Rattus norvegicus: one gene and its partners. The protein of the gene in region 2 interacts with the protein of the main gene of each other region in a biochemical or structural test. Links are inferred from orthologs where the notes say so. Each region holds a gene or a part of one and is shown on either strand. Other genes may lie near its edges. The genes, in order: Wnk4, Oxsr1 and Wnk1.

What was found.
Region 1: the proteins of Oxsr1 (region 2) and Wnk4 are reported together in a solved structure, tested with the Homo sapiens proteins (2 studies listed by BioGRID and IntAct, with this or other methods). The link is inferred for Rattus norvegicus from reciprocal best matches to the Homo sapiens genes OXSR1 and WNK4.
Region 3: of the proteins of Oxsr1 (region 2) and Wnk1, one has a biochemical effect on the other in vitro, tested with the Homo sapiens proteins (2 studies listed by BioGRID and IntAct, with this or other methods). The link is inferred for Rattus norvegicus from reciprocal best matches to the Homo sapiens genes OXSR1 and WNK1.

The regions. Positions count from the first base shown.
Region 1 is NC_086028.1:86,701,407-86,705,777, forward strand, and holds the start of Wnk4 (serine/threonine-protein kinase WNK4), read left to right. Parts: upstream 1-1,433; 5' UTR 1,434-1,577; coding exon 1,578-2,186; intron 2,187-2,873; exon of another isoform or gene 2,874-2,908; coding exon of another isoform or gene 2,909-2,953; intron 2,954-3,635; coding exon 3,636-3,808; intron 3,809-4,371. UniProt on the Homo sapiens protein: Serine/threonine-protein kinase component of the WNK4-SPAK/OSR1 kinase cascade, which acts as a key regulator of ion transport in the distal nephron and blood pressure.
Region 2 is NC_086026.1:127,884,233-127,887,879, forward strand, and holds part of Oxsr1 (serine/threonine-protein kinase OSR1), read right to left. Parts: intron 2,472-3,647; coding exon 2,370-2,471; intron 513-2,369; coding exon 379-512; intron 1-378. UniProt on the Homo sapiens protein: Effector serine/threonine-protein kinase component of the WNK-SPAK/OSR1 kinase cascade, which is involved in various processes, such as ion transport, response to hypertonic stress and blood pressure.
Region 3 is NC_086022.1:154,825,060-154,828,706, reverse strand, and holds part of Wnk1 (serine/threonine-protein kinase WNK1), read left to right. Parts: coding exon 1-55; intron 56-564; coding exon 565-681; intron 682-1,025; coding exon 1,026-1,199; intron 1,200-1,401; coding exon 1,402-1,459; intron 1,460-1,559; coding exon 1,560-1,682; intron 1,683-2,264; coding exon 2,265-3,647. UniProt on the Homo sapiens protein: Serine/threonine-protein kinase component of the WNK1-SPAK/OSR1 kinase cascade, which acts as a key regulator of blood pressure and regulatory volume increase by promoting ion influx.

The DNA of each region.
Region 1 (4,371 bases), on a different chromosome or scaffold from region 2:
TGTCCCCACAGACTGGATCTGTCACTCCACCAGACTCAAAGGGCTCAAGTCCTGAAAGCTCAGACTTAGGGATGTTTCCCACATAACCTGTTCTATCTGTCCCTGGGATAGGGTAGCCCACAGTGCCATGGAGAAAGGATGTGTTGCCTGCCCTACCTCCTTTCCTATCCTGTACTGTCCCTGAGCTAGGGTCTATAAACCTGACACTTTACATGTGTTCTCACACATAAGTACACACCCACCTACATGCGCCTGCACAAGCTTCTTTCTCCTCCTCCTCCTCCCACTCCTGTAGCTGCTGTTGCCTCCCTTCTCAGGCTGGTGCTGGATCCTTCCTAGGGATGGGGGAAGCCCTGGCTGCAGGCAGCCTTCCAGGCAATATAAAGATAGGAAGCCCCAGAAGGGGCCTGGCAGTGAGAGGCAGGCCCACTGATTTATGATATTAAAATCTCTACTCCCACTGTCTGCCTGTTACTACTGCTGGATTGGGACTAGGGAGGGCGGTGCAGAGTTCCACCTGATTGAGTCCCAGCCAAGGAAATAGAAGAATCTTTGGCCTTTGTACGGAAGGGCCTGGGGGGCTCCAGTGAGCCTGTGGTTTGCCATGTGCTGGGTGAGTTGTGTGGAGGAGTGCGGGTAGAACACAGCTTGGGGACAGACTGCTTGCTCTCTAAACTGGAGTCACTTCATTGCTCCCCCATGGAAGTTCTATTCTAAAGCCCCTCCCTCCACCCATGATGGTCTGGGTGGGGTAGTTGTGGCCAAGGGGAGCTGGTGGGGTAAACCGGATGTGGACTTTGGTTTATTGAAGACTTTGGCAAACACGAGGGGAGGAAAGAGAGCCCACAGCAAAAAACAGCCTTTCTGGCCAGGGGCAGGCTCCGGCCAAGGTGGGGTGGAGCTGATGGGTGACCAGTTCTTGGTTGGGGCCTGGTGGTAGGGAGGGGCTTGTCTGGAGTAAACACAACCCATCCTAGTGCAGACCAGGGGGCTAGCTAAGTGAAGAAAACCTTACCTTTCCAACACCGATGTTAGGCCTGGGGCTACTTCTTCTGATTAGGACCGAGTAGTACTGCCTTATCAAGGGTGCGCAGGCTGGTGGTGCCCCTCCCCCTCACTGAAGCAAAGGAGTGGCGGTCACTTTTCATCTCCTGTTCCAGTGTTCTTCAACTCCCCCACCCCAAACATGTTTGCCTTCTCCTCGTGCGGGAGTATACCCGCTGCCGCCTCCCACTCAGCTCTTGCTGGGAAGAAGGTTTAAAGGCCGGGACTCTGGAAAGCAGGGCACGGAGCCGGGGGGGGGGGGGGGGCTAAGCACAGGTTGAGATGAGGGGCAGTACCCTACCTATCCCCACTGGGTAACACGTCAGGCTCACAAGGGGGCGGCCCTGGGGGGTGAGGACCGGTCTCGGCTGGGGGCGGGTTGTGGGGCGGAGCCGGGGGCGGGTCGCCGGGCAGGCCAGCCAGGGGCTGGGGCCCCAGCAGCTCAACCGGAGCGCTGCGTATCCAGCCGGTCTGCCTGTCAGGCTGCTGCCTCCAGCCGCCGGCTTTCCGTTCTGCGGCGCCCGGCCCTTCCCATGCTAGCACCTCGAAATACAGAGACCGGGGTCCACATGTCCCAAACGGAGGCCGACCTGGCTTTGCGGCCATCTCCGTCTCTCACCTCCATGGGGCCGACCCGCCTGGGGCCACCTCCTCGCCGAGTGCGCCGCTTCTCTGGGAAGGCTGAGCCCCGGCCGCGCTCTTCGAGACCGAGCCGCCGCAGCTCAGTCGATCTGGGACTGTTGAGCTCCTGGTCTCAACCAGCCTCACTCCTTCCGGAACCTCCTGATCCTCCGGACTCCGCTGGTCCCATGAGGAGCCCACCTTCAAACTCTAAAGAACACCCCGAGGGCACATGGACGGGGGCAGCCCCGGTGAAGGCTGCAGACTCTGCCTGTCCTGAGCTTACAGTATCTTCCGGAGGTCCGGGGTCCCGGGAGCCACCAAGGGTTCCTGATGCTGCAGCCCGGGAACGGCGGCGGGAGCAGGAAGAAAAAGAGGACACAGAGACCCAGGCTGTGGCAACGTCTCCCGACGGCCGATACCTCAAGTTTGACATTGAGATTGGAAGAGGTTCCTTCAAGACCGTGTATCGAGGGCTAGACACCGACACCACGGTAGAGGTGGCCTGGTGTGAGCTGCAGGTGTGCCTGGGCACCCCCTAGGTGGGATGGGCCCCTTTGGTGGTCTTAGGTTGGGGAAACAGGGAGGACAGCATCAAAGGAAGGATCACTTTTTTGTCAGATGTCCAGGCACTCTTGCTTTCCTTGCCGGCATGGTTTTACTGACTCTGGGTGGTTTCAGGAGAAACTGAGGCAGATGGTATACAGTGGCTCCCAATGAGCATAGACAACTTCACTTTCAAACCTTCTTACAAATCTGAGGGTTGGAAAACTGAGTTGCAGCGGGTAGCACTCCAGTCTCCTGCCTGGGGTATCACTGCCCCTTCCTCTCTTGCTCCTCCAAGTCCTGAAACCTTCTGCTGTGTCTCTGGTCCTCCTCCTCCTCCTCCTCCTCCTCCTCCTCCTCCTCCTCCTCCTCCTCCTCCTCCTCCTCCTCCTCCTCCTTCTCCTCCTCCTCCTCCTCCTCCTTCTCCTTCTCCTCCTCCTACCTCTTTACAAACTTAGAAATAATATGTGGGAGTTCAGGAGCTGAGGACAAGGCCCTCTCCACCTCCAGAAGGGGGTTCTCCAGGCCGTTTCTGGAGTTGTTGGTTTTACAGACTTCTTAACAGCCTCAAGGAGTGGGACAGGAAGCTCTAGTTCTAGCTGGAGTCCAGTTCAGTTTCTCATCCCTATGCATACCTGGAATCTCCTTTTCCATTGCCAAAGGAGCTGAGCTCTTGCAACCTTTGGACTTCAGGAGGATGTTGATTGGCAGTTTCTTCCTCCCGTGTCTCCCACTGTTATGTGTGAGTGGTCCCGGAAATTTTTAGGGTATAAAACCAGGAGGAAGGGTCCTTCCACTTTGGTCCTGGCATAGGGCTCTCCGCTAGTCACTGCTAGTGCCGCACCCCAGGCTCTAAGCCAGGCCAGGAGAATCAGCCAGACTCAGGGGAGGGAGAGGGAGAGGGAGAAAAGAGGGGTAGGGCAGCTCCTGCCATGGGGGGGTGGTCTCCTGGCCCTGGATCTTTTCTTTCTTGGTACCTTCCTCGGACTCTGTCTAGATTCTGCAGTTCCTAGTTTTTAAGGCCAACCCCTTGTCGGCCCCAATTCCCTGCCCGTGGTCTGCCTTCTGCCTGCTGCCTGCTGCCTGCCGTCTGCCACCCCCCCTTCACCCCACCCCACCCCTTCCACGGTCGGCTCTGGCGGCCACAAAGGCGCTATTGAGTGCATAGCTCCCAGACCTGGTTGCATAAAGGCGCTTGTGTCCAGCAGGGGGTCCGGAGTGCTGCCCCAGGCCCAGGGTGGGTGTGTTTTGGAGCAATAAGAAGGGATCAACCAAAAGTTGGGGGTCTACAGCCCTTCTGCTAGAGATCTCGCCAACTATACCCTCCCTCATTTCTCCCCCCACCATACCCTAGATGTCCCATGTCCTTCTTGGGGGGGGTTGATCTGGATCTGATGTGACCCTCCGTCACCCCCATCCCACAGACTCGGAAACTCTCTCGGGCTGAACGGCAGCGTTTCTCTGAGGAAGTTGAGATGCTCAAGGGGCTGCAGCACCCCAACATCGTCCGCTTCTATGACTCCTGGAAGTCGGTGCTGAGGGGTCAGGTTTGCATCGTGCTGGTCACAGAACTCATGACCTCGGGCACGCTCAAGACGTGAGCTCTGGCCTGGGTGGGAGGGGAGGGGTGGAATGTCACCCGTCACTCCAAGGCTCTGGGAACTTCTCCCAGTCACTTCAAACTTCCACACTTGAAACCAGGCTCTCTCCCACTTACTAGACTGTGTGAATGCCAGTGTACACCAAGCATACCAGTCAAAACTTTAGGTATCTTTACTGCAATGTACCTTCTTTCTCAACAGTGGGGTCACTTAAGTCTTTGTTTAACATCCTCCCACTGCACCCCCCCATCTTTTCCTCTACCTTGCTGCTATACCACTGACCCCTCCCAACTCCCAGAAGCCCTCCTAAAGAGCCTTTCCCAATCTGCCCTCCCTTCAAGTTATCCTATCTTCCTGCAACCCAGGGGAAGCCTGACCCTTTGACTTGCTCTTTTAAACCCCTTCAGGATTTCCCACTCCCCTGGGGGTAAAGTGCATTCACTCCCTCAGACACTCTCTTCTTGAGCTGAAGTTACAAACAACCCCAATTCTGTGATCCCTCCCATTCTGAACTGTCACTCCTGTGGCTCTCCAGCCTGGGAAATCTCCATCCCTCCCC
Region 2 (3,647 bases):
AAGTGTGTGGTTGTGCTCCTCTTGTTATTAAACTGTAAATGGCAGTTACACTTTTAAGTGAAGGTTGAAAAAAAGAAAAACTTGCCCATTAACATGGCATTTTACTAATACAGAATTCACAAATATAAATTCAGTTTTAAGAAATTAATCAAGAAATATCTGGGCAACTTAGGTCTATTATACACTTGTGAGTGCACGACATCAGCTCAGGCCCCTCCAGCTTGTGCAGTGGCCTTCCTGGCTGTCTCCAGCACTGGTGAGTCATTCATTTTAAGAATACACACATAATACTGTGTACATGACAAAGGTAACCCTTGGTGCGCCCACACACAGTTGTACGTATCAGAACACACATGTCATGTTTACCTAATATTTTACCTTTTTTCTGGATCCTTTTGAAGGCACAATGAAATCATTTTTCTAAATGATTTTCCATATTTTTTCAGCATTTCTTTATCTTGAACACCAGTATCCAAAGAAGGAGGATCGTTCTGGAGTGTCAGCATTAAAACCTGTGTAGTAAGAATTTTGGTTTCTTTAAAAACCCAGTGATGCTATGTGACTGTTTTTTGTTTTAATCCCAGGTGTGGACACAGGCTTTTGAGTGCCTACAGCAGCTAACTATGATTTGCCTCATGCTCTAGGAGGGATGTGATTTTTGCCAGCTGCAGATAGTTTACGACTGGAATTCTGGGTACTCTTGAGAGTATACCAATGGGAGAACCCCAGGAGAGCCTGTGGAGGCTGCTGCTCTCCCTGCTACTGCTGGTTTCTGTTGTTGTAGCTTGTCCAGTGGTTGTAAGCAAAGAGATGAAAAGAAAAAATTGGATATCCTAACGACAAAAACTGAACTCGCCCCAAGGAACTCCCTAAGCAGTGGGAAGTAGTCTAAAGAGACCTATGCCCCCTTTCCCCTCTAACCTTCTTTCTTTCCTACCTAGTGATGGGAGTTGGAAGGGATCGGGGTGAAATTAGGGCTGGAAAGGAGGAACCCAACAAAGTAGCCCACAAAAGTATACCAATAAACCTGCAAAATTTTTTAGTATAGTATAAACACATGAAGAACTTTCAATAAGGATAAAACCTTTCAACACACAAGCAGATTTTACTTTCTAGCAGTTGACATCTAGGGGCTGGAGATGGCTCAGATTGCCGTGTAAGTATAAGGACCTGAGTTCAACCCTTCAGAACTCACATAAAAAAGGTGGGTGTGGTGGTCTAAGTCTGAAATCCAAGCTGGGAAGGGGGAGTGAGGCTGGGGGGTGGGGTGGGGGAGGTCCTTCGGGCTTTGGGCCAGCCAGTCCAGCCAAATTGACAAGCTCCAAGGTTTAGGGAGAAGCCGTGTTTCAAAATATAAGGCAAAAAGTGATTGAGGAACATATTTGACAAAAACCTCTGGTCTCTAAAAGCCTAGACATACATGGGCCTACACACACACACACACACACACACACACACACACACACACACACACACATATGCATGCACACATGAACACATGCACACAGGTACACATATACAAGTTACCATCTAGGTGGAGTTTTAGAGTCAGGGGATAGATAATATGAACTTGTCTAGAATGTATGAGACCTGGGGCTCAATGCCCAGCACCACAAGAAACAGACTAGCTGATGAGAGCCCAAGGCTCCCGTGTGGACTGGACATTAGTTAAAAGCTATACAAAAATGGTGGATCCCCAGAAGTGCCCACTGCCGACAGACACTGCTACATCCTTCAGTTACAATTCCTTATCTCTTCATGTTCACAGACCTACTTCTTCCATTGCCAAACAACTGCATGGACTCCTTAGCTTCACCTACTGCTCGCCCCGTGTCTCCTTGACTTCTGTCTGTTTAAGTAACAAAGCAAGGCTACATTCCATTCACACTCTTAGTTCGCATTCTCCCTGCCTCCGCTGCAACCTTAGTTGCTTTGCCAGCAGAGCCTGTGAAAGGCAGATGAGTAGAGAACCGAGGAGGCTGGATACCAGACACCAAAATGCAGTCAGAACCAATAGCGCTGTGTGCGCAGGACAGCAAAGGGACGCAAGTTCAGCAATCCGTACATATTCTGTGAAGAACTAAACCAAAGGTCAGTGGTTCTGAACCCAAGGAAGAGTCGGGGTGTGGTGATGACATCGTGAACAGACTTATCACATAAATACACAACCAAAAATGCTTTATCCTGTGCTTGATCCCTATACAATACAAAGTAAAAACGGTTATATGAGTGTAGAAAGATTGTATTTTGCTAAAATATACATAAAAATTCTAGGAAAATAAGTAACTATGGTTATGACTGACAGACATAAAAGGCTCTGAAGAGTCACCGGACTGGACGGGGAATAATACTTAGAACGTGAGCCTCACCTTCATTGGAGGATATTTATGATAAGGAGCTGCCCCTGTGGCTAGTTCAATCGCTGTGATTCCAAAACTCCAGATATCAGCTTTAAAATCATAACCTCGAACCTGAAAGGGATTGGGGGGAGGGGGAGGGGGAGAGAGATACACAATTACTTTAACCAGGCTAAAACACTTTTGCACAAGTTTCTAGTGTGTCATGTTGGGGAAGGTGGGAGTGAGAGTCTCCCTGTGCAGCCCAGGCTGGCCTTGAATTTTTGATTCTTCTACTTCAGCCTCTGGTGTGCACTACCAGAATGTGCTCACAAACTTTAACCAGTAAACTACAACCATTACAGTCCTTTAAAGGACACAGCAGTACTTAATAATTCTATATGAAAACACAGAAAGTATTCCTGATAAAGCACTTATAAAAGTGTAAAACTATCATTAAGTTTGATAATTACAAGATTCACTCTATTTACCAAAAACAACTAAAAAGAACAATCCAGAACCAAGGTTTTCCATAATCCTTTTCTGTTCCAAATGTTCTATATGATTTTTTTCCTCCTTCCTTCCATGTCTTTCCCCTCACTGACCTCCCCACTCCTTTCCCATCTCCCTCGACCTGAGGTTCTTGTTTGCTTGAGAATAAGATCTCATTAGGTAGGCCAGACTGGCCTGGAATTCTCTACTCTGTCTCAGTTTCCTGGGTGATGTAAGTACGTGCTGGAATGTTATCATTACAAAGGGGTTGTGGATAGCTAAGCCGTTGGCATGAACAGGCTGCTAGTCTCCACTGCCACTGTCACGTCAGTCACACGTTTTTAATCTTCTATACTGAGCTACATAGGAGAAGTTCAGGGGTCAGTATGTGTGCTGTGCTGCCTTCTGGTAGAACAGGAGGGTCTGCAAAGGAGAGTTTCCTCCATGGACAGTATTCCCTATACCCACAAGCTTCTCTACCAGACAGATCAGGGGCAGCTCCTGCTTACCTGAGAAGCAGGTTTAGCCCCACCATAGCCTCCATTCCAGGAAAACCAATGAAGTCCCATATTCCTTCATATCTCTCCCCTGCCCCAGCCTTTCTCCACAGCCTATGTTTGTTCATTCTGTTCCCAAGTGTGGTGGCCTCTTAAGACCCTGTATGGCCTGGAGTGCCCTCCTTTCACAGGCTGTATGTAGTAATATATGTATGTATATGGGAAAATATGTATATAGTAACACATCTGTGACACTCATGAGTAAATCCTATACAGTGCTGAAAGTAACCTAGAGTCTTGAGAAGTAGGCTGGTTTGTATGT
Region 3 (3,647 bases), on a different chromosome or scaffold from region 2:
AAGAAGTCGTTCTCGTCATGAAAAGACTTCTCGCCCGAAACTGAGGATTTTAAATGTAAATATTGATTTTCAACCTTTGTATTATTTAAAGAATTTAGTACTTTTAATTTTAGAGATCATGAGATCTAAACCACTCACTTGGTTAAAATAAAGATGCCTTATCTTTATATATAATTTTATAGCAGATTTTTTATTTAATATACCTAATCTCTGTTAGTTGACTATTACATTTCTTTTTGTTGTTGCACCTAGCTCTGGAGTTTGAGCTGACAAAACAAAGATACTAGATACTTTCGTTAATGGAAGATGAAAAGAGGGCAAGGGCTGAGCAAGACCTCTCGGGTTTCTTTAGCCAGTTAAGATTGAAGACATTGATGGCGGTGGCACACACCTTTAATCCTAGCACTTGAGTGGCAGAGATAGGCAGATCTCTGAGTTCCAGGACGCTACATAGAGAAACTTTGTCTCAAAAAACCACATACACACCCAACGATTCAAGGAATTTCAAGATGACTTCTCAAATTCAGTAATAAATCAGAATATGAATTACCTTTCTCATTTTAGGTTTCAAATAAAGGAGACCGAGTAGTAGAATGTCAATTGGAGACTCATAATCGGAAAATGGTTACATTTAAATTTGACCTAGATGGTGACAACCCTGAAGAGATAGCAACAATTATGGTATGCCTCCATTTGGATTTCCACATTTTCCCATAGTATATGGTCTTAAGTACATGTCCTAGACAACCATGCAGTATTTTGCCATCCACTTTCATTTTAATGATAAATTTTATTTTCTGCTTTAAAACTAGCATACCCAACCCATGATTCTATGATTTAGAGATGGCTTTCGTCTAAGATGTAGCTGTGTATGTGTTCAGGGTCTTATGAAGGAAAGTAGTATTTTAAATACCACATACACAGTACAGCTGATGTACAGATTGGAGTCATAAAAATGAATTGGTAATTGAATGACTAAAAGCTTAAATAATGTACTAATGAGATTGATATCAAATTTCTTATAGGTGAACAATGACTTTATTCTAGCCATAGAGAGAGAGTCTTTTGTGGCTCAAGTGCGGGAAATTATTGAAAAGGCTGATGAAATGTTAAGCGAGGATGTCAGTGTGGAGCCTGAGGGTGACCAGGGATTGGAGAGTCTACAAGGAAAGGATGACTATGGCTTTCCAGGTTCTCAGGTATGTTCACCATAGCTATAGTTAGTTCTGTATTTAAAATAGTTCTGTACTGCCTAACCTATCAAGCAGAATATCCACTGATGCAATAGTTAGTACCTCTATGCCTGAGAATGAACATTTATGTGCGCATCAAATGTGACAGTTTGCTTTGCATAATCATGGAGGTTGCATTTGAGAAGAGTTTTACTTTTGCTTATTGTAGAAATTAGAAGGAGAGTTCAAGCAACCAATTGCTGTATCTTCCATGCCACAACAAATAGGTAAGCTTTTCTTTTGAAGTTGTATGTGCCAATAGTGAAATCTCAAGGCTTTATTTATATATAACAGTATATATGAATTTCAATGATTTGTTTTGTTCAGGTGTTCCTACCAGTTCTTTAACACAAGTTGTTCATTCTGCTGGAAGACGATTTATAGTGAGTCCAGTTCCAGAAAGTCGATTACGAGAATCAAAAATTTTCACCAGTGAAATACCAGATCCAGGTAAGAATGATTTAGCCACGCTTTGGTAAATCTTATAGCATCTCTGGTATGGCGGAATCTTGATCAAACAATAACTCATGATCAAATCAAAAGTATAAAATTAAAAGTAATAGTAAAGTAACATGGAAGAGGGAAATGAACTAAAATAGTGTTGAAATAAAATTTAGAGTTGAACATGACACGTGCATGTAATTTCATGCTCAGGAGACAGGGAAGAGGAAATGATCGGGAGTTTGAGGTCAGCCTGGGTGGCTACGTAACACCCTCTCTCCAAAGAAAAAGAAAGACAGCAGGCCATAAAGGACCAGGCGTGCTAAATAGAACCTACACAGTATTGTGTTTCTATACTTAGAGATAAATTTTGTTTTCAGGCTAGTCTTATGTTTGATGGTTTTCAAAATTATAAGCTGCCTTACTATGTCAAACTACTATACTGTTTTACAGCGTGTCATTTCCTTGGGAATAGTTATAAGACATACTGATGTGTAACATTGTTAATAATCCAATAATGTTTCCTCAAAGACACTCTTTTTGAATCCACATGTTTTAAATAGCGTAATTTCTTTATTTTTTCTTTTCTAGTTGCGGCCTCTACATCTCAGGGCCCTGGAATGAACTTATCTCACTCCGCTTCATCCCTTAGTCTCCAGCAGGCTTTTTCTGAACTGAAACATGGTCAGATGACTGAAGGACCCAATACAGCACCTCCAAATTTTAATCACCCAGGACCAACATTTTCTCCCTTTTTGACTAGCATTGCTGGTGTCCAAACTGTAGCAGCATCCACACCATCAGTATCAGTCCCTATAACAAGCAGCCCTCTTAATGACATTTCCACATCAGTGATGCAGTCAGAGGGTGCACTGCCCACTGACAAAGGCATTGGGGGAGTTACCACCAGCACAGGTGTGGTAGCTTCAGGTGGTCTCACCACATTGTCTGTGTCTGAGACACCAACACTTTCCAGTGCAGTTTCAAGTTCTACAGCGCCTGCAGTTGTCACAGTGTCTACAACATCCCAACCAGTTCAGGCTTCCACATCTGGGAGCATTGCTTCTAGTACAGGCAGTTTTCCTTCTGGAACATTTTCCACAACTACAGGTACCACAGTGAGTAGTGTAGCTGTCCCAAATGCTAAGCCTCCAACTGTATTACTGCAACAGGTAGCAGGTAATACTGCTGGGGTAGCCATAGTGACATCAGTTTCTACTACCACTCCATTCCCAGCCATGGCTTCACAGCCATCCCTTCCACTTGGTAGCAGCACATCTGCTCCTACACTAGCTGAAACAGTGGTGGTTAGTGCACACTCACTAGACAAGGCATCTCACAGTAGTACAGCAGGATTGGGTTTGTCCTTTTGCGCACCGTCCTCTTCTTCCTCCTCTGGAACAGCAGTGTCTAGTTCTGTTTCTCAGCCTGGTATTGTGCATCCTTTGGTCATCTCATCAGCTATAGCTTCTACACCTGTCCTCCCACAACCAGCAGTACCTACTTCTACACCTTTATTACCCCAAGTACCTAATATCCCACCCTTGGTACAACCTGTTGCTAATGTGCCTGCTGTACAGCAAACACTCATTCATAGTCAGCCTCAACCAGCTCTACTTCCCAACCAGCCTCACACACACTGTCCCGAAATGGATGCTGATACCCAGTCCAAAGCTCCTGGGATCGATGATATAAAGACTCTGGAGGAAAAGCTGAGATCGCTCTTTAGTGAGCATAGCTCATCTGGAACTCAGCATGCTTCTGTCTCCCTGGAGACACCCTTAGTAGTAGAGACTGTCACACCGGGCATCCCTACCACTGCTGTAGCACCAAGTAAACTCATGACTTCCACTACAAGCACTTGCTTGCCACCAACCAATTTACCCTTAGGAACAGCTGGCATGCCAGTTATGCCAGTGGGCACACCTGGTCAAGTTTCTACCCCAGGCACACATGCCTCAGCCCCAGCCAGCA